5 linked regions of the Cricetulus griseus genome follow. The protein of the gene in region 2 interacts with the protein of the main gene of each other region in a pairwise test. Links are inferred from orthologs where the notes say so. Each region holds a gene or a part of one and is shown on either strand. Other genes may lie near its edges. The genes, in order: Ppl, Akt1, Arnt, Tcl1a and Cep76.

Region 1 (4,164 bases), on a different chromosome or scaffold from region 2:
GAGGAATCACTACTGAGCAGGCACTGCTCATAGTTTGATCCCAGCCTGAAAGCTGAAATGGTGAGGAGGGCCAGCAGCTCCAGTGACCCAGTCTGGATAAATAGAAAGAGGCAGAAAGGAGGCCTTCTGCCCTCAATATTACTGTGTGATATGCTAAAGCCCGTGCTGTTTTTGTGAGTGTATGTGCAATATTTTCTTGTGCTGTAGTTTCCAGTTACAACCACTGATGATGGAGCATATAGGAAAGGGAAAGAAGAAAATATCAAGGTTATTAAATCATGAAAGGTGGGAGCATGTCACTCACTCATACTGAACAATGCTGAGCTGAGTTGCCTGCCCAGCTGGTGTCTGTGCTGGTATTACAATAGCTGCTCTGTAAGCAGCCAGATACAGTGTGGATAAAACACTTAGCTCAGAAGCCTGCATGACAACTGGGGAACAGAAGATACCCAGGAGGTTGCTGAGTAGGAGCAAGCCAGCCATCCCCCTCCAGGAAAAGCTAGGCAGAAGAGGCCTACTTCTGCCCAGAAACCAAGACTGCCAGCTCCTGAATGGACATATCCTTGTTGACATAGCGGTCATACTGAGCAGGGGTTAGCCTTCCACTACGCAGGGCATCCTCAATAGAGAACTTCTTGCCAGACTTTCTGTCATGAATCACTGATGACTCCCCATTAGGGCCTTTCACTGATATCTCCTCCCAGTCGCATTCCTGGCTTCTGAGCTTCACAAACATGTTCCAGTCGATGAGCCCAGCCCGGTGGGCCTCCTCTGGGGACAGCTCTCGGCCTGTGTCAGGGTCAATGACCACTATGGAGCGCCTCAGGTGGTTTTCCCTCTGCTCTCTCTTGACGGCCACAGAGCCCAGTCGCCTCTGCAGTTCATCGATCTCCAGATCCTTGTCCTTGGACATCTTCTTGAGGTCATCCAGTTCCTTCTCTAGAGACCACAGCCTAGAGTTGAGGTGGGTTCCAGAGTCCACCTTTGTAATGTTCCTCAGATCTCGAGTTTCTGTTGCTGCCATTTCAATCTCTGATTGGAGTCTCCGGGTCTCCAACTGCAGGTTTTGCCGCTCTAGCTGCAGCTTGTGATTTTCTTCTCTCAGGAAATCTAGTTCCTTGGATGACTTAGAATTGTAGAATTCTAACTCAGATAACTTGGCTTCCAACCGGGTAATCTCTATATCTAGCTCCCTCTTGCTCCGGCTCTCCTCTTCCAGGCTCTTCTTGAGCCGCTGGATCTCTTGCTCAGTGTCACCTTTTTCCACCTGGATGCTCTCAGAGAAGACTACCTTTTCCTTGATCTCTGTCTTCTCCAGGGTAGCCAGCTTTCTACGAAGGGGTTCAAGCTCGCCCTCCAGTAGCTGCCTCCGATGCCGCTCTTCCTCCAGCTGGGCTCGGAGCAGGGCATGCTCCCTGGTCTGCTGTGGGTCCTGCTGCAGCACCACCTTCTGTGTGTGGGTCACTTTCTCACCAGCCTTGGCTTCCTCCTGCTCTAGTACAGCCAGCCGCTGCTGCAGCCTCTGCACCTCCAGCTCAGCTGCCCTGCGTGCCTGCCGCTCACGCTCCAGTTCCTCCAACTGCCTCTCCAGCTCTGCTCGGCGGTGCTGTAGCCTCCGCAGCTCCACACGTAGCTTGTCGATCTGTCGAAGCTCAGCATCAATGCTGTCTGTGAAGGCAGTCACCTCAGCTCTTAAGTCTGGCTCATCTTCGTACTGCACCACCTCCTGGCGTACAACCCTTTCTTTGCCCTGTGCCAATTCTTCCTCCTTGCATCGGATCTTCTCTTCCTGGGATGCCCTCTCCCCTTCTAGGTCCACCTGTTTCTTCTGTTCTTCTGACAGCTTTATACGCAGAGACTCTACCTCCTTCTTGGTTTGGGGGTCTTCCTGGAACTGCAAGATCTCCTGGACCACCTCTCTAGTCTGCACCTGTGGCTTGGTGTCCTTCAGGGCCTGGATCTCCTGCTTCAGCTGGTAGATCTCCAGGTCACACCTTTCTATTAGCCTGGTCTTGTCCATGATCTCCTCCCTGAGCCGCTGGAGCTCCTGCTCTGTCTCTGGGTCAGTCGTGTATTTTATGACCTCTTTGGTCACCTCTTTGACTTCTACCTGTGGCCCACGCTTCCGGAGGGCCTCCAACTCACTCTGGTAGCTCTTCAGCTGCTCCTCAGCAGCTCTGAATTTGCGCTCCTGCTCCACCAGCTCCAGTCGGAGGTTGGCCACTTCACTCTCTGCCTTGGGATCTGGTCGCACGATCTCTCGGACCTTCTCCTGTACCACCACCTTGGCATTCTCCTCTTCCAGTGCCCATATCTTTCTGAGAAGCTCTGTCTTCTCCCGCTGTCCAGTGCGTGCCTTGGCAGCCTCATCCTCATACTGGCGGGTGAGGTCATTGACTTCCCTCCCTGTGGCTGCATCTTTCTCTACCTTGAGCACCTCCTTGACGGTGATCTTGCCTTCTGCCATGGCCCGTTCTTTCTCCAGTCTTCTGAGCTTGGCCTGCAGGAAACTCAGCTCCTCTTCCTGCTTCTCCCTGAGTGTGCCTTCCTGCTGGTGTTCCTCTTGCAGCCTTCGGTATTCTGCTTCCAGCTGAGGGTCATTCTGCAACTTTACCACCTCCCTCTCAGTGACCTTCTCCTGCACTCTGCTCTTCTCAGCAGCCAGGGATGCCACACGCTGCTGTAGGAGGAGCACCTCAGCCTCTCGGGCACCTTTCTGCCGCCGCAGTGCCTCCAGCTCCTCCCGAAGCTGCATGACCTCATCCTCTTGGGCTTTGTCTGGCTCAATGCGCAAGACCTCCTTGACCACATATTCTTGTCCCCCATCCCTGGTCTCCTGCTCTAGGGACTGCAGCCGAAGCTGTAGTGCTCCCAGCTCCTCCTGCAACAGCTGGTTCTTGTGTTGTTCATCAGCCAGGGTCTGCTGCAGCTGCTGGAAGCTCTCCTCAAGGGTGGGGTCTGGCACCTTCTTCAGCACCTCCTTCCTCACCAGTGACTCTTGAGGTCCCTGATCCTTCAGGGTCTGGATTTCCTCCTGGGCACTCCTGACCTCATTTTCCAGCTGCTGCCTTCGCTCCATCTCCTCTTCCAGTTCCTTCTTAATCTTCCATGTTTCCTCCGTGCTGGAGCCCAGCTTGCCCCCTTGCAGGGTCTCATGGGTCACTCCTGCCTCTGGCTGCTATGGCAAAGAAGACAATGGATGTATGGTTAGAGACAAGCCGGTCTGCTCACCTAAACAGGTTGGGTTAGTTGTCCTGTGGTCTTCTGGGGACTCCATTGGTCTTCTAGAGTTACTTTTACTCTTTTAAAAATTGAACAAGGCAAAATTTTGTAGGCACAGAGAAGTTTGAAGTGACACCAGTCTCCTTACCTCTGCCCTGACCCTAGGAGTATCTGTTGTCCTTGGAGACATTTTCAATGTATATTTTTAGTGACCTCCACGTTTACTTTTTCTATGCAGACAGTGCCATTAGTGACTGGAGGGGCAGAGTACCATCTTTGCTCAAGGTGCCACATCATTGCTTAACAGCAGTGTTTCCCCTGTGTCGACATGGTTTAAGCCACCACACTGCTGAGGAGTGCTGAGTTACTGCTAGTTTCTGGATGTGTCAGATAAATCTGTTATAAATGTCATCAGGTCCTAAAAGGTAATTTTTGGGGTTGGAAGGATCAAGTCCTTGGAAGAACAAGCACTTGAGTTCTGATCCTAGCCATGATATGAAAATGTTGGGTGTGGTGCTCTAGTGTGTATGCACTTGTAATCCCAGCACCCAGGAGGTGGAGACTGGAAGCTCCTTGGGGCTTGCTGGCCAACTAGTCTAACTTAATTGATAAGTTCCAAGTCAATAGAAAACCTTCTTGTCTCCACACACATGAGCATGTACATGCACCTGCACATAATGTGAATCCACATACACAAACATACCATTAAAAATAACTTTGGGGACTAGAGAGATGACTAGAAGGTTAAGAGCACGTGTTGCTCTTACAGAGGGCCCAGGTTCAATTTTCAGCACTCACATGGTGGCTCACAACCATCTGAAACTCCAGTTCTGGGTGATGTAATGCCTTCTGACTTCCTCGGGCCCCAGGCACACATGTGGTACACATACATACAAGCAGGCAAAACACTCGTAAAAAATCAAACAAACAAACAAACAAAAA
Region 2 (3,519 bases):
TGTTGGCTGGTTTTGTTGTTCAACGAGAAGCTGTTGTCAGGCATCTGGCCTCAAGAACCATGGGGACCACACTGTGGAGGTGGCACCTGGTTATTTGTCATCTGTTCATGTCTGTGTGAACACGGGCCTGGTGAGGAAACTCCAGGTGGAGCACAGCACCTCTAGTGGGCCGTGAGTACTTGTGTTCCCAGAGGCTGTGTGGACAGGTGGAAGGCCCCAGCTGCTGCTGCGCTTCACCAGCTGGACTCCGCCTTACCTGTTTTCAGGGTACCAGGCATCCAGATGGGGTGAGGGAGTAGAGAAGAGCCTGGATGGGCCAGAGCCTAGCACTTCTGCAGGGGCTCAGTATCAGTCCCTCCTTGTTGGAGTGTGAAAAGCTGGAGGGAGGCCCCAGAAGGGGGCAGGGGTATTCCTAGATACCACGTGGCCATGAAGGACCAGTGTAGCCACCTCTTGTATTTGTCTGTCATGTGTTGGCACAGTTCTTTTGGAGGGGTGGGGCTTGGGGTCTGTCTGGACTGAACTCATTAACATGCAGGCCACATCCTAGGCTGCAGCTGGCTTAGCTGGTACCCCCAGTGACCATTTGGCTAGACCTTGAGGCCGGAGATGAAGAAAGAGATCTGTGTGTCAGAACTGTGGCTCCCTTTCCTCTGGAAGAGGCCGCCACCGGGAAAGACCTGATGAGGTCACTTCACTTTACATTTCTCCTTGGCCAGGAGGCCTCTGTGAGGCCAGGGAGGGGAAGGGCACCTAGGCCCTTCTGGGTACTTGGCTTTCTCTGCCTGGTGAGTGTCCCTGCCTGTACCTCCAGGTCCACATTCTGGAATCTGCCTGGCCTAGGGGCTGGTCATGCAGGCTAAGAGCCAGTTGTAGATAGGGTGGTGGTCTTGTCTGGGGGCCTGCACTGGGCACAGTGGGGTGGGCAGCAGTTGGTAAATCAAGATGGATTTCTGGGGTGCGAGTGTGTTGCTCATCAGCCTCCGTACTCAGTTAGTGTCCCGGGGAGCAGCAGCTGGTGAGATGGAGGCACTCCATCAGGGGCCGACAGCTCCAGACTGGTGCTGGCGGGTGGGCGTGCACAGCGGGGGCCTAGGGAGGAACGGGGTGGGGGGGCTGCTCACCCCCCATTGGCTCTGCTATATTACCCAGGGCCCCTGCCTGCCCACTGAGCCTTCGAGGCCCTATGCCAGGGGAGGGGCTGTCATGGGGCCACTGGCCATGTGAATACTGCAGGTGTGTGCCACCTGGTCAGAAGCCAGGCTGGTGCCTGCAGGGGTTCAGGGGTCTTCGAAAACCTGGATGGGAACCCTGTTCTGTGTTTTTGTTGTGTAGGCAGGTTGCTGAGCCTTAGGCCCTCCTGAGTGAGGGAGGGTTGGCATTGGTCATTGCTTTGAAGCCCCCAGTGGCTGTGGGAAGTGGCCGGCTGGGGAGCTGAGCTTCTGGGAACTAAAGATGGGAGGCAGGAATGGGTTTCCAGGTGTCCTAGTTCCAGCTACTTACGGACTGTAGGCCTTTGGAGAGAAGCAGAATAATCTAGCCTAGGCCCTGGAGGACCACCAGGCACATTTGGGCACATGCAATGGAGTCGGGAGGAGCTCGAGCTTGCTCTCTTTGCTGCCCCTCTCCATTGTGAGGCTGGGGTCTTTGTCAGTGCTGATGGCAGGCTTAGGAGATCTGCAGTGACGAGGGGACAGGATCCCTAGCTCTAATAGCTACCAGCTCCCTGGAGTGTGTGTGGGGTGTTGGCCTGGTAGTGGCTCTATCACTTCTTCTCTCACCAAGAGCCTTTGTCCGTCACTTAGGCTTTCTCTTATCCTGATTCATGCAGGGCTGTGTAGGGTCATGCAGAGCAAGGCTGGTGTCGGAAATGCCTCCAGGGTGTCAATTGAAAGGGACTAGACGGTGGAGTCGGGGGAGGTAGGTCATGTGAGGAGTCTGGCAATATACTGCCCAGAGCCCCTACTTCGTGTACCCTGGAAGGCCCTGAGAGTCTGAGCTGGTGAACTATACTGGGTAGACTGTATCTCACCTGCACGTGTTCTCAGAGAACACCTGGATTTAGTACATACCATGAGAGGGTAGAGAAGGAAAGCTAGCTAGCCTCCCTGGGGCTGTGGAAAATGCGTTAGGTGCACTGCCTGGTGCCTGAGACCAGGGTGTTTGTCCTTGTGACTTGGTCTGCATCCTGGAGCACCTGGTGGCAGGTGGCCTGGTCCAAACAGTTGCTCCCTGCATACCCCTCTAGGTGCTCTTGCTCAGGACTCAGTGGGACAAGCAAAGTTCATCTCAGATAGAGCTCAGGGACCCCAGCCCTGTGGGCTGCCCCTCCTGTCCTCAGTCTAGTGTCCCCTCAGATGAAGAAGTTGCCTAATTAGTTAGCTCCCTGTTGTTCAGACTCCTTGCTCGGCAAAATGTAAATGAAACATTTTTTCCGGGTGTCAGTATGAAAAATGACAGTCGCTGGGAGATCACAGAGGACATCTGCTCTGATGTCTGAGTGTGGTGCCTGCTTCTGGCTGATGCTGCAAAACTGGAGGAGGGAACAATGTTCCTGTGTACCTGGGTGACCAGGGCAGGACTCAGCTGGACACAGCACAGGTCTCAGCTAGGACACACACGTGCGCACGCGCGCACACACACACACGCGCACACTCGTTCCAGCCATGGCACCTCTTGACTCTGCTGCACAGGCAGAGCCCTGGAAGATGCTCCCAGCAACATGCACTGGAGCTCTGCCCCAGTGCCAGTGCCTTCTGGGAAGGAAGTGGCCCAGATCCCTTCCCTACCTCTATGTGCCTAGGTCCTCTCAGGTGTCAGGGCCACTGCAGTGTTGTTCACATGCAGCTCCTTATGCCCCCCCCCCCCCGCAGGGGAATACATTAAAACCTGGCGGCCACGCTACTTCCTCCTCAAGAATGACGGCACCTTTATTGGCTACAAGGAACGGCCTCAGGACGTGGAGCATCGAGAGTCCCCCCTCAACAACTTCTCAGTGGCACGTAAGTGTCTCGGCCATTTGGGTTGAGTGAGATGGCTAGGCAGGCCAGCAGGTTTTGTCCTGGGGTGCTGGGCAGTGCTAGCTTTGAGTCACCTCCTCTAGAGCTGGCCAGTGGCCAGCTCTGGCTGGGCCAGGGAGCCCTTGCTGTAAGGCTGAAGGTTCCAGCATGTGGTGACTGGACCTGGTTTAGAGGGTGGGTTGACCAGGGTCCCTTTAATGGGGACTAAACAGGCACTCAAGGACATTCACTGGGAACTCTTGGGTAGACTGAGAAGAAGGTTCCCAGTTCTAGGAGCCTAAGACATCCTGGGAACCATTTCTGTATTGTTTCCTGGGAAGACCATTGGTAGTCCTTTGCCCTGGGTCTTGTGATCGCCTTAGCTGGAGTGCCAGGATTGGTGAGGGTTATAAAGTTGAGGATATTGTGAAACTATCTTTGAGAGCGTGGAGCTTGAGAATCTATGTCCTTGTTCTCTGTGTCACATTGTGACAGCCCAGTTCTGCCTGGGACTGGTCAA
Region 3 (3,519 bases), on a different chromosome or scaffold from region 2:
GTTGGCAAAGGAGTGAATCTCATTTAAATGGTGGAGGGGAGAATGACACAGTAAACATACAATGACAACAACCAAGTACCTTATACACTGACCGATAACCATTCTCTAATAGAACCTAGCAGAAAGTCAAGGACAAGTGTGTATGAAAAAAATGCCAGGTAACAGATGAAATACATGCATAATTGTTTTATTATGTGAACACAGGGGAAAGAAACTACTGTACATTTTAATTTCCCTATTTTATTTACAGTATAATTAAGATACAAATTAACCTAACCACTGATGAAACATTTTCTAAGAATGAGCCACACAGTGGATATTCTGCATGTGAATAAAATTTAACAAGTATATTCATTAAGGGAAGTTTTTTTATAAGCTTCTGCCAGATTCGACAAATCAATGAAAGGAATTAAATGTCTCTAATGCCTCAGCAAAATGAAGACTTTTTTCCCCCACTCATTTGCTATCCACCCAACTCTCACCTGTCAGAGCATTTTCTGACGTAGAAAGCTGCTCTCTGAGTTTATCCACATCGTCTGGGTGCACCTGATCGTAGAGTGTACTCCCAAACCATTCAGACTGTGGTTGGTTCAAAACAGGAGTCACCGAGTCAGAGACATAAACCACTCGGCCAGTCTCACACGAGACAATAAACAGAAAGCCATCTGCTGCCTCCAAGATCAAATGTTTCAGTTCCTGGTCAAGAAAATATTTCAAAGTTAATAGTGAACTCTGAAAAATCATGTATTTCTAGTCATGGAAAGCAGCAAGATTCTTTGGTATATATGCATTGCTCCATTAGGAATTGAAGGTCATACCTCAGCCAAGCCACGGGTTCCCACCCTAAATATCCACTGGCAAAGTGTTTACAATAAGTATTCTATTTCTCTAAGTTGCTAGACACGACACCTCTTTCTTTTAATACTCAAGGGAAAATAAAAAGGCTTACAATAATGAGACACTTAGAAGGGGGCAGGGGACTTGGACTCATGGCAATCATTTAGCTTTGGCTTCTCAAGAACTGGAATTAGAACTAACACATATAGCTAATAACTGGCTTAAAAACAACACAAGAAGACAGGTTCTCATGTAGATCAGTCTGAACTCAAACTTGCTACCTAGTGAAGGATGCCGTGAGTTCCTGGTCATCCTGTCTCCACCAGGTCCTGGGAGTCCAGGTGGCCAGCACCACCCCGACTGTACGGATGTCAAATTAACCAGGGTTTTGAGCACGCTAGCTAGCACTCTGTCAAGTGAGGTACACCCCAGCCTCTAACAGTAGACTTGTTGGTCCCATCCTCTGTGCTCTCTTTTTAGGATCACTTCACTTTCCCTGTTTCCATTCAAGCTTATAAACACAAAAATTTCCTAATTCTATATAAATCTTCCCTCAGCTTGTCCAGGGTATGTTGTTATCATTAAAGGATTTAGGTATAATTTTTAGGCAGTAATGAACCATAAACACATAATTAGACTACTGTCATTTTGAGGGTAGATTAAAGAGGATAAAAGCAGAGAGAGCATGTTACACTCAATGGTTCTATTCTCTCTTGCTTGTCAATTACTCCTCAATCTTCACTCTAAACCACCATCTTTGTTTTGTTGTTTTAAGGGGTTTACTTACTTGCATCTTCTTAATTGCCAATTCGGGTCCCTTTCCTGGATCCTCATCATTTTTTTAAATTCAATCTCTCTCCACAATCTGATAATACTACCCACTGCACTCTATAAATTTCCTTTTTGCTTAGCATCTTCCGAAACTCCATTTCTGCTCCAAGTTCTCTCCCTTTGTTCACATGTTACATGCAGACATTTCCTAAGTCCTGTTCTCTGATCATCTTCTCTTCACAATCTATACTCATGTTTCTACACCATTAAATAAAACCCAAATCCATGCCAGGCAGTGGTGGCGCAAGCCTTTAATCCTAGCACTTGGGAGGCAGAGGCAGGTGGATCTCTGCAAGTTCAGGGCCAGCCTGATCTACACAGTGAGTTCCAGTACAGCCAGGACTACACAGAGAAACCCTGTCTCAAAAAAAAAAAACAAAACAAAACAAAACAACAACAAAAAAAACAAGTTCACACCTCTGAATCTTCCCACCAGGCCACCACACCCCTCCCCCAATAATTTCCAAGTATCATTTAATTGAAAGTAACTCACAGAGATGGCCTGTATCTTGACTGCTGGGATTAAAGCAGTGTACCACCATGCCCAGCACCTAATTCCTCTCCTTCTTTATCTATGTTCCTGTAAGGCTCATTTACTGTTCCTCTGTTGTAACACTAGCTTTGCTCTGAGTTATCAATTTACATATCTGTTTCTACCACTGATCTTTTACCATTCTTTATATTTCTTATATCACAAAGTATCTGATTTGCCACAAAAGCAGCATACCTGGGGTCTGTTTAATCAATTCCTGCACCTATTCTAAGGAAGTAAACTGAGTATGTTTATGTGCATAGCTATTAAATGTGCTCCATGTGCTAGCAAATAGACCACCTTATTTGGAGAACTTACTCCTTTCTCTCAAGCCATATTCCTATAATTCTTAGATGAACATGCTGATATAACAGTAAATGTCCTTTACCTTATTCTTTACAATGCCTGTATTTTCTAAAACTTTCCACAGTAATCACACATTGCATGTGTATATATATTTATTTTGGAGAAGGTCTTATGTATACCAGGTTAGCCCTTAGGAAGATGGCTTCAACTTCTTACTCCTACTCTAGTGCTGAAATTACAGGTTATGGGGTACCACATCCAGTTGTATATGGTGTTGGGGGAACAAACTCGGGGCTTTATGCTTTCTAGGTATGAACTATCATGTATCTTTTTTGTTTTTGAAACAGGGTCTTGCTATGTAGCTCTGGCTGGCCTGGAATTCTCCATGTAGACCAGGCTGGAATTGGCTTCCTTAGTACTGGGATTAAAGGCATGCACCACCATGCCCTGGCCAATCACAGATTTTTAATTGAAATGTAATTTGTCAGCCATAGGCACTCTCATTCAAGTGTAGAGACTAAATAAATTTAGACATCCCACCGTTACATAGTTATCACACACAAAATATTGACAAAGAAGCCATCTGCTCTCCATATGCCTCTTTCCATCATTTTGCATTTACGTATGTTACCACTCACATATTTACTATGTTCAAATTTAATCTTTCTTCTGGCAGTAGTGGAGACTGAACCTAGGGCCTCCAGCACTGGAGGTGAGTGCTCTACCAAGGAGCTACAGCCATAGCTCTTAGATGGAGTTCCGGGGTTCTAGGAAGTATTTCTGTTTTCATGTGTATATCAAATGTAACAGAGCATATCACAGAGTAACAGGGATTGTCTGTTAGACTCCTGTTAAAACTGGAAGTTGCTTCAGGGCTGAGACAGATTTCTTCCATGTTCCAGAATCCAAACCCAAGGAATCCTGGTTCCATACATGTGGTAACCTCTCTGAAATTGCCTCCTTCTTTCACATTACAGGCTGTATGTACAACTCAAGTTCTAAAATACCTAAAA
Region 4 (2,156 bases), about 8.1 Mb from region 2:
TGGGCCAAGGCAAACACCAACCCAGTGAGGAGAATGGGTAAGATGGAGAAATCTGCCTCTGTAAACGTCACACAGTGATGGGGGCTGGAGAGATGGCTCAGAGGTTGAGAGCACTGACTGCTCTTCCAGTGGTCCTGAGTTGGGTTCCCAGCAACCACATGGTGGCTCACAACCATCCGGATGTTATAAGATCTGGTGCCCTCTTCTGGTGTGCGGATATACATGGAAGCAGAATGTTGTATACATAATAAATAAATAAAATCTAAAAAAAAAAAAAAGTCACACAGTGACAACTGATCATAAACAACGGTAACCTGTGGTGGCCCATGAACACGGCTGTAGCTGTAGCTCCTAGGGGGGTAAAGGAAGAGACATGGACACTTCTGGGAAGCCTGCCTCACCCTGGGCTCTCTCTGAGGACAGCTGCTGGGGAGGAGCCGGCATGGCTTTCATGGAAAAGGGTACTACTCCTTCCTGATGGAGCCCCGGTGCACTCACCATGTCATGGATATTCTTCAGACTCCATCAGTTCAAGTAGCATGTCTTCTACGCCTCTGAACTAAGGTGGGGAAGGAGAGAGACAAGAGTGATCAGACCCAGCCCCAAGAACTCCCCTTCTATGCTGGCTTAGCTTTCTTTAGCCTGGGGCAGCACTGGGACCTGAGGGGCTAGCCCTCTCCACTGGTCTCAGTCAGTGACTACCACAGAGCTCCTTGTGCTAAGGAGTTTGGTTGAGACCTCAGAAGATAGCCTCTTCTATTTCTTTAACCCATTTAAAAACAAAAATCTGCAGTTAGCTCCCCTTCCATTAGCTTAGCTTCTGGTACTAGGATGGAGGGATAACCCAAGCCAACCCCAAGTTGAGAGCAGGACCACTGGAGATTACCCACTCAGTCCGTAGGATAAGCTGTGCTTGCCTTGATGTGGTACAGTATCTGCCAGAGCATGGAGTCACTGCCTCTGTACTTTTTCCCTGGGTATAGTTGCCACATTAAAGGCAGCTCGTATGCCTCCAGCTGTTCAGGGATCATAGCAAGCCCCAAGGGGACGTCTTGCTGGCGCAAGATCACCTGGAATTTTTCATCAGTCTGCAGAGGAAGAACAAAACACACCTTCACCTCTTGCTTACCACTGCCAGGCTCCCTCAGGCACAACACCCAGTGTCCATCCTATCACTGACCCAATACACTGAGCAGTTACTGCCCCTGGTTTCAACTCCACAGGCTACACACAATCTTAGGGACTCTGGCAGGGTCTAGCCATCCTTGAGGGTGCACTTTTTCCTGCCAACGCTCCTACTGCTAAGCCACCGAGTCCTTCAACTTGGTCCTATAGGTGTGGGGGGAGGGAACCTTAAGGTGTCATTTCTTTGGCATCATCCACTTTTCCTTTCACTTATTTACTTATTAATTTAAGACAAAGTCTCTTATTGGCTTGGATCATGCATGGGCACACATGGCACACACAAACACACACACAAAGCGAGGCTGTTTGGTCAGTGACCGTGCTTCAGAGGTCTGCTTCCCCAGTGCTGAATTACTAGCAACATCTACAACACTCGGTTTCTCAAACTTGAACTCTGGGGATTGAAGTCAAGACCTTACGTTTGCAAGGCAAGCACTTTACCAACTCTATTCCAGCCCTGCCTGGGTTTTGACTTTGCTTTTGTCCAATGCCCTCTTTCAAGGGAGGAACCAGTCTATCTATGGACCCCTGTGGGAACTGTAAACAAAACGCACTGTCTTTTCTATCAGAGGGTTAAATGAGATGAAGCTCCATCTCTAAAGAGGCTATCTAGCAAAAGAAAATCCCCTTCCAGTCAGCATATTTCTAAGATCAAAGTCTGTGCTCAAGGTTGTGTCCTATTTTCAAAGTTACACTTTGCTTGTGGACTGCACAGCTCTAAGTTATTCAACTGTGAAGAGGCTGAACTCTTGACCAACCAGAATGGGACTCAGGACCCCTGTGGCACAGCTGCACAACCTACGGAAGTATAACTTTCTGTCTTGCTGAATGCTTTGGGTTGTGTGGTCATTTTCTTGAGACGCCCCCACACCCATTTCTAACACTGTGATTCTGGTGACAGGCGTTGTTTGCCCATCGCTGGCACAGCTCTCCTGGGCCATGGCAACTATTTCTACACTTACTGTCTTTAC
Region 5 (3,519 bases), on a different chromosome or scaffold from region 2:
CAGTTATCACCCACCCCCAATGCACACAAAACACATGCAAATGCAATAAAGCCTTTTAAAATATCACCCCATGTTGCTACTCCAATGCCCTTCCACTTTGTGACACCCCCCCACATACACACATTCCAGTCCTGGAGTTTGCTAAAAGCCAGGGCCTTGTACATGCTTAGCAAGCACTACCACTAACTGTATCACCAGTCCCAGCTTAATAGTTCTTTCCCCATCCCTTTGGTTAATTCTTTTAGTACAAATCTAAACAGCAATGTTATTGTTTTTTCTAAAAAGACAATACTTTCTAGGGTAAATATTTCCTACAACTAAAGCAATGTACAAAAGAAAAACTGGCTTACCTGTGTGTTCACTACTTCTTGAGACAGTGTTTGGTTGAGTGGTGGGTACATCTCAAGTTTTATATTTAAAATTCCCACAGAAACTTTTGATTCTGTTCCTATAAATACAAATATTTAAAACTCTACTTAAACCTTATTTAAAACAAAGAACTTTCAGGACTATGTGTATTTAGTCAACCAAAGTCTAACCAACATAATTTAGGAGTGATGTACTTTATGACTTAAGTAGAGTTATAATACTCAACATTACACTTAATATTCATATTAAAAATGAATCAAACTTTTTAAAATGAACCAAATCAAATTGATTTTTTTCTTTGTTACTAAAGCTTTCTAAAAACATTTTAAGGAACTTTTCTGACCTTGTGGATTTAGAATTCTTAAATTTATATCTTTAATATAATATATAATTTAATGTATATAATTCCAACTAGATGCTACATTAAGTACAAAACCAAAGCAATTGTTAAGAGCCCATTCTGTCTCCATGAAAATCAGAAAGTATCCCAACTTTTTACCATATGCAGTAATTCCATCTACCCTTTCTTATCAAGTTTTCAACTATATATGATCTATATATACAACATACAAACATATATGTATATAAAACTATTCAATATTTCTTAACCAAATCGGTATATACTTATTTCCAGGTCATTGTTATGATTATCATGTTAGACCTATTTGCATCTATCTATCCATCCATCCGTCTGTCTGTCTATCTGTCTATGCACCTAAAGCATGCAGTGTCCTTGGAGGCCAGATCCCCAGGGACTGCAGTTAACGAACAGTCAGCAGTCAGCCACTATATGGGTGCTCTAGAAAAGCAGCCAGTGTTCTCAACCATTCAGCCATCTCTCCAGGCCCAGGTCTATTTTTGAAGACAAAGAACCAGAAATCACTTTAAAAAACAAATCTCATGTGTAAAGAGAATACTAGTTCTTTTTATTTAAGTACAGACATATTTTGAGTCTGACTTAAATTCTGAATGCTTTGCTGTCAACTGACCAAATTTAGCTTTTTTTCTTTTTCTTTGTATGAGTGCATGCACATTATGTAAATGGCTTTGCCCATTCACAAGAGTGTGGAGACCAGAGGCTGATGTGGGGCCACTTCCACTATTGCTCTCAGCCTTAGCTTTTAAGACAAAAGTCTCTCACTGACCTGGAGCTCACCAATTAGCTAGATTGGCTGGGCAGTGAGATCCCAGGATCTGCATGTCTCTACCGCCATCAAGACCTGGGATTACAGATGCATGCCACCATGCCCAGCTTTTTTTGTGGGTGCTGGAGAGACAAACTCAGTTCCTTCTACTTGTGTATCATCTTACCCACTGAGCCATCATGCTATCCCCAAGTTTAACTTGTATGAATAAGTTGTAATACCAATACAATTACATTATAAGTTATAGATAAAACATTAGTGGGTTTTTGTTTTCCTCTTTTTATGAGCTAATACATATTACATAGTAGGCAGTATGCAAAATCCAAGGAAATAATGGTAAGATAATGTACAACCTCTGTCCTTTACTATTCATTGCTACTGACACTGACCAAGTTAGCAACTCTTTCAAATTTTACCTATCCATAATAACGAACTAGAGGAACATCTACTCATTCGTCAATAACCACTGGTATGAAGCTGGCACGGTGGTACATGCCAATAATCCTAGCATGAGGCAGGCCAACTGTTCTGTAGAGGGAACTCAAGGACATCCCAAAATACACTGTGAGATTCTGGCCATAACCAACAAAACAAACAAAAAACCCATAACCCACCCCCTCCAAGAACCAGTGTGGTGACGACGGTGATGTGCTGTACTCTAGGACATACCAGAAAGAAGCTTATGCATACACCTATTCATATGTTTAAAAGAATCCTGCTTTTCTTTATAACCTTATATTTAACAACAACAACAACAAAATGTTGAACCTCCAGAATTTCCATTCATTTTGCAGACAAAAAACATTCTTTGGAGCTGGAGAGATGGTTCAGAGTAAAAGCACACTTCCAGAGGTCCTGAGTTCAATTCCCAGCAACCCAATGGTGGCTCACAGCTATCTATAATGAGATCTGATGCCCTCTTCTGGCATGTAGGCATACATGCAGGCAGAACACTGTATACATAATAAATAAATAAATCTTAAAAAAAAAAAAAATTCCTCAGGATAAGAAAGACTGACTTTGAAGAACTATGGTGGCATTATTCTTCCAGCTATTCCCTAAGCCAACTTACCACTGAAATTCTGATGAAAGCCTGTTTTACAAGTCTCCCTCCTGTAAAGCCCTTTTGACTGATATAAAATAAATTTGCCAACAAACAGTATTTATAAAAAGGTGAAAGTGACATTAATCATCATACCTACACCCATAAGTTCCACAGTCAGATTGGTCACTCCATTTTCTGAGCCCAAAACTGATCTCCATTCCAGAAAATAGGATGCCACTAAAGTAGTCTCACCAAATATGTCTATTTTGATCAGCACCATGTGAATTGGATCACTTATGGATAACATTGTTGTTGAATCAGCCATTCTAGTCCCATCACCTAACAACACAAACCGAAGAAAAAACACACTATATTACGTATTACTTAGTAACACAGAATCATTTTACAAGCTGAGGATATAGCTAAGTGGTAGTGACTGCCTAGCATGCCCGAGGCCTTGGATTCCATACCCAGCACCACACGCACATATGTGTACATATAAGAGAACTGGGGTGTATACACACACACACACACACACACACACACACACACACACACACACACACACTTTTATTGAAAAGTATTCTAAATAAGCTTACATATGATGGAAATAATTTAGTAAGGTCTCTCAAAGTATGCCAGAATCTGGGGGAAGAATATCACCCCATTCTATGACTGACAACTGCCAGGACTAGCAGAATAAGATGAATTATTTAGAAGTTACTTAGTTATGTTACTTACAGTAGTCAGTACTTTCTGATCCATAAAAAGTCTAATCTTCAAAAGAACTTATATTATGTACTATTACAAAAGAAAAGGCCATCAGCTAAATGAGTTAGCACACACCTTAAATCCAAGCACTCTGGAAGTAGAGGAGGGAGGGTCTGTGAGTGCAAGGCTAGTCAGAGCTACATAGTGAGACCCACCTCAAAACTCCACATACACACCAAAAAGAGAAAC

Evidence for each region.
Region 1: the proteins of Akt1 (region 2) and Ppl interact in a two-hybrid assay, tested with the Homo sapiens proteins (2 studies listed by BioGRID and IntAct). The link is inferred for Cricetulus griseus from reciprocal best matches to the Homo sapiens genes AKT1 and PPL.
Region 3: the proteins of Akt1 (region 2) and Arnt interact in a protein complementation assay, tested with the Homo sapiens proteins (2 studies listed by BioGRID and IntAct, with this or other methods). The link is inferred for Cricetulus griseus from reciprocal best matches to the Homo sapiens genes AKT1 and ARNT.
Region 4: the proteins of Akt1 (region 2) and Tcl1a interact in binary tests that used the Homo sapiens proteins (3 or more experiments, as listed by UniProt). The link is inferred for Cricetulus griseus from reciprocal best matches to the Homo sapiens genes AKT1 and TCL1A.
Region 5: the proteins of Akt1 (region 2) and Cep76 interact in binary tests that used the Homo sapiens proteins (3 or more experiments, as listed by UniProt). The link is inferred for Cricetulus griseus from reciprocal best matches to the Homo sapiens genes AKT1 and CEP76.

Annotation. Positions count from the first base shown.
Region 1 is NC_048600.1:41,609,850-41,614,013, reverse strand, and holds the end of Ppl (periplakin), read right to left. Parts: intron 3,179-4,164; coding exon 515-3,178; downstream 1-514. UniProt on the Homo sapiens protein: Component of the cornified envelope of keratinocytes. May link the cornified envelope to desmosomes and intermediate filaments. May act as a localization signal in PKB/AKT-mediated signaling.
Region 2 is NC_048598.1:181,392,298-181,395,816, forward strand, and holds part of Akt1 (RAC-alpha serine/threonine-protein kinase), read left to right. Parts: intron 1-2,873; coding exon 2,874-3,002; intron 3,003-3,519. UniProt on the Homo sapiens protein: AKT1 is one of 3 closely related serine/threonine-protein kinases (AKT1, AKT2 and AKT3) called the AKT kinase, and which regulate many processes including metabolism, proliferation, cell survival, growth and angiogenesis.
Region 3 is NW_023276806.1:61,036,224-61,039,742, forward strand, and holds part of Arnt (aryl hydrocarbon receptor nuclear translocator), read right to left. Parts: intron 697-3,519; coding exon 483-696; intron 1-482. UniProt on the Homo sapiens protein: Required for activity of the AHR. Upon ligand binding, AHR translocates into the nucleus, where it heterodimerizes with ARNT and induces transcription by binding to xenobiotic response elements (XRE).
Region 4 is NC_048598.1:189,490,419-189,492,574, reverse strand, and holds the end of Tcl1a (T-cell leukemia/lymphoma protein 1A), read right to left. Parts: intron 1,089-2,156; coding exon 918-1,088; intron 560-917; coding exon 503-559; downstream 1-502. UniProt on the Homo sapiens protein: Enhances the phosphorylation and activation of AKT1, AKT2 and AKT3. Promotes nuclear translocation of AKT1. Enhances cell proliferation, stabilizes mitochondrial membrane potential and promotes cell survival.
Region 5 is NC_048595.1:171,774,413-171,777,931, reverse strand, and holds part of Cep76 (centrosomal protein of 76 kDa), read right to left. Parts: intron 2,899-3,519; coding exon 2,713-2,898; intron 449-2,712; coding exon 351-448; intron 1-350. UniProt on the Homo sapiens protein: Centrosomal protein involved in regulation of centriole duplication. Required to limit centriole duplication to once per cell cycle by preventing centriole reduplication.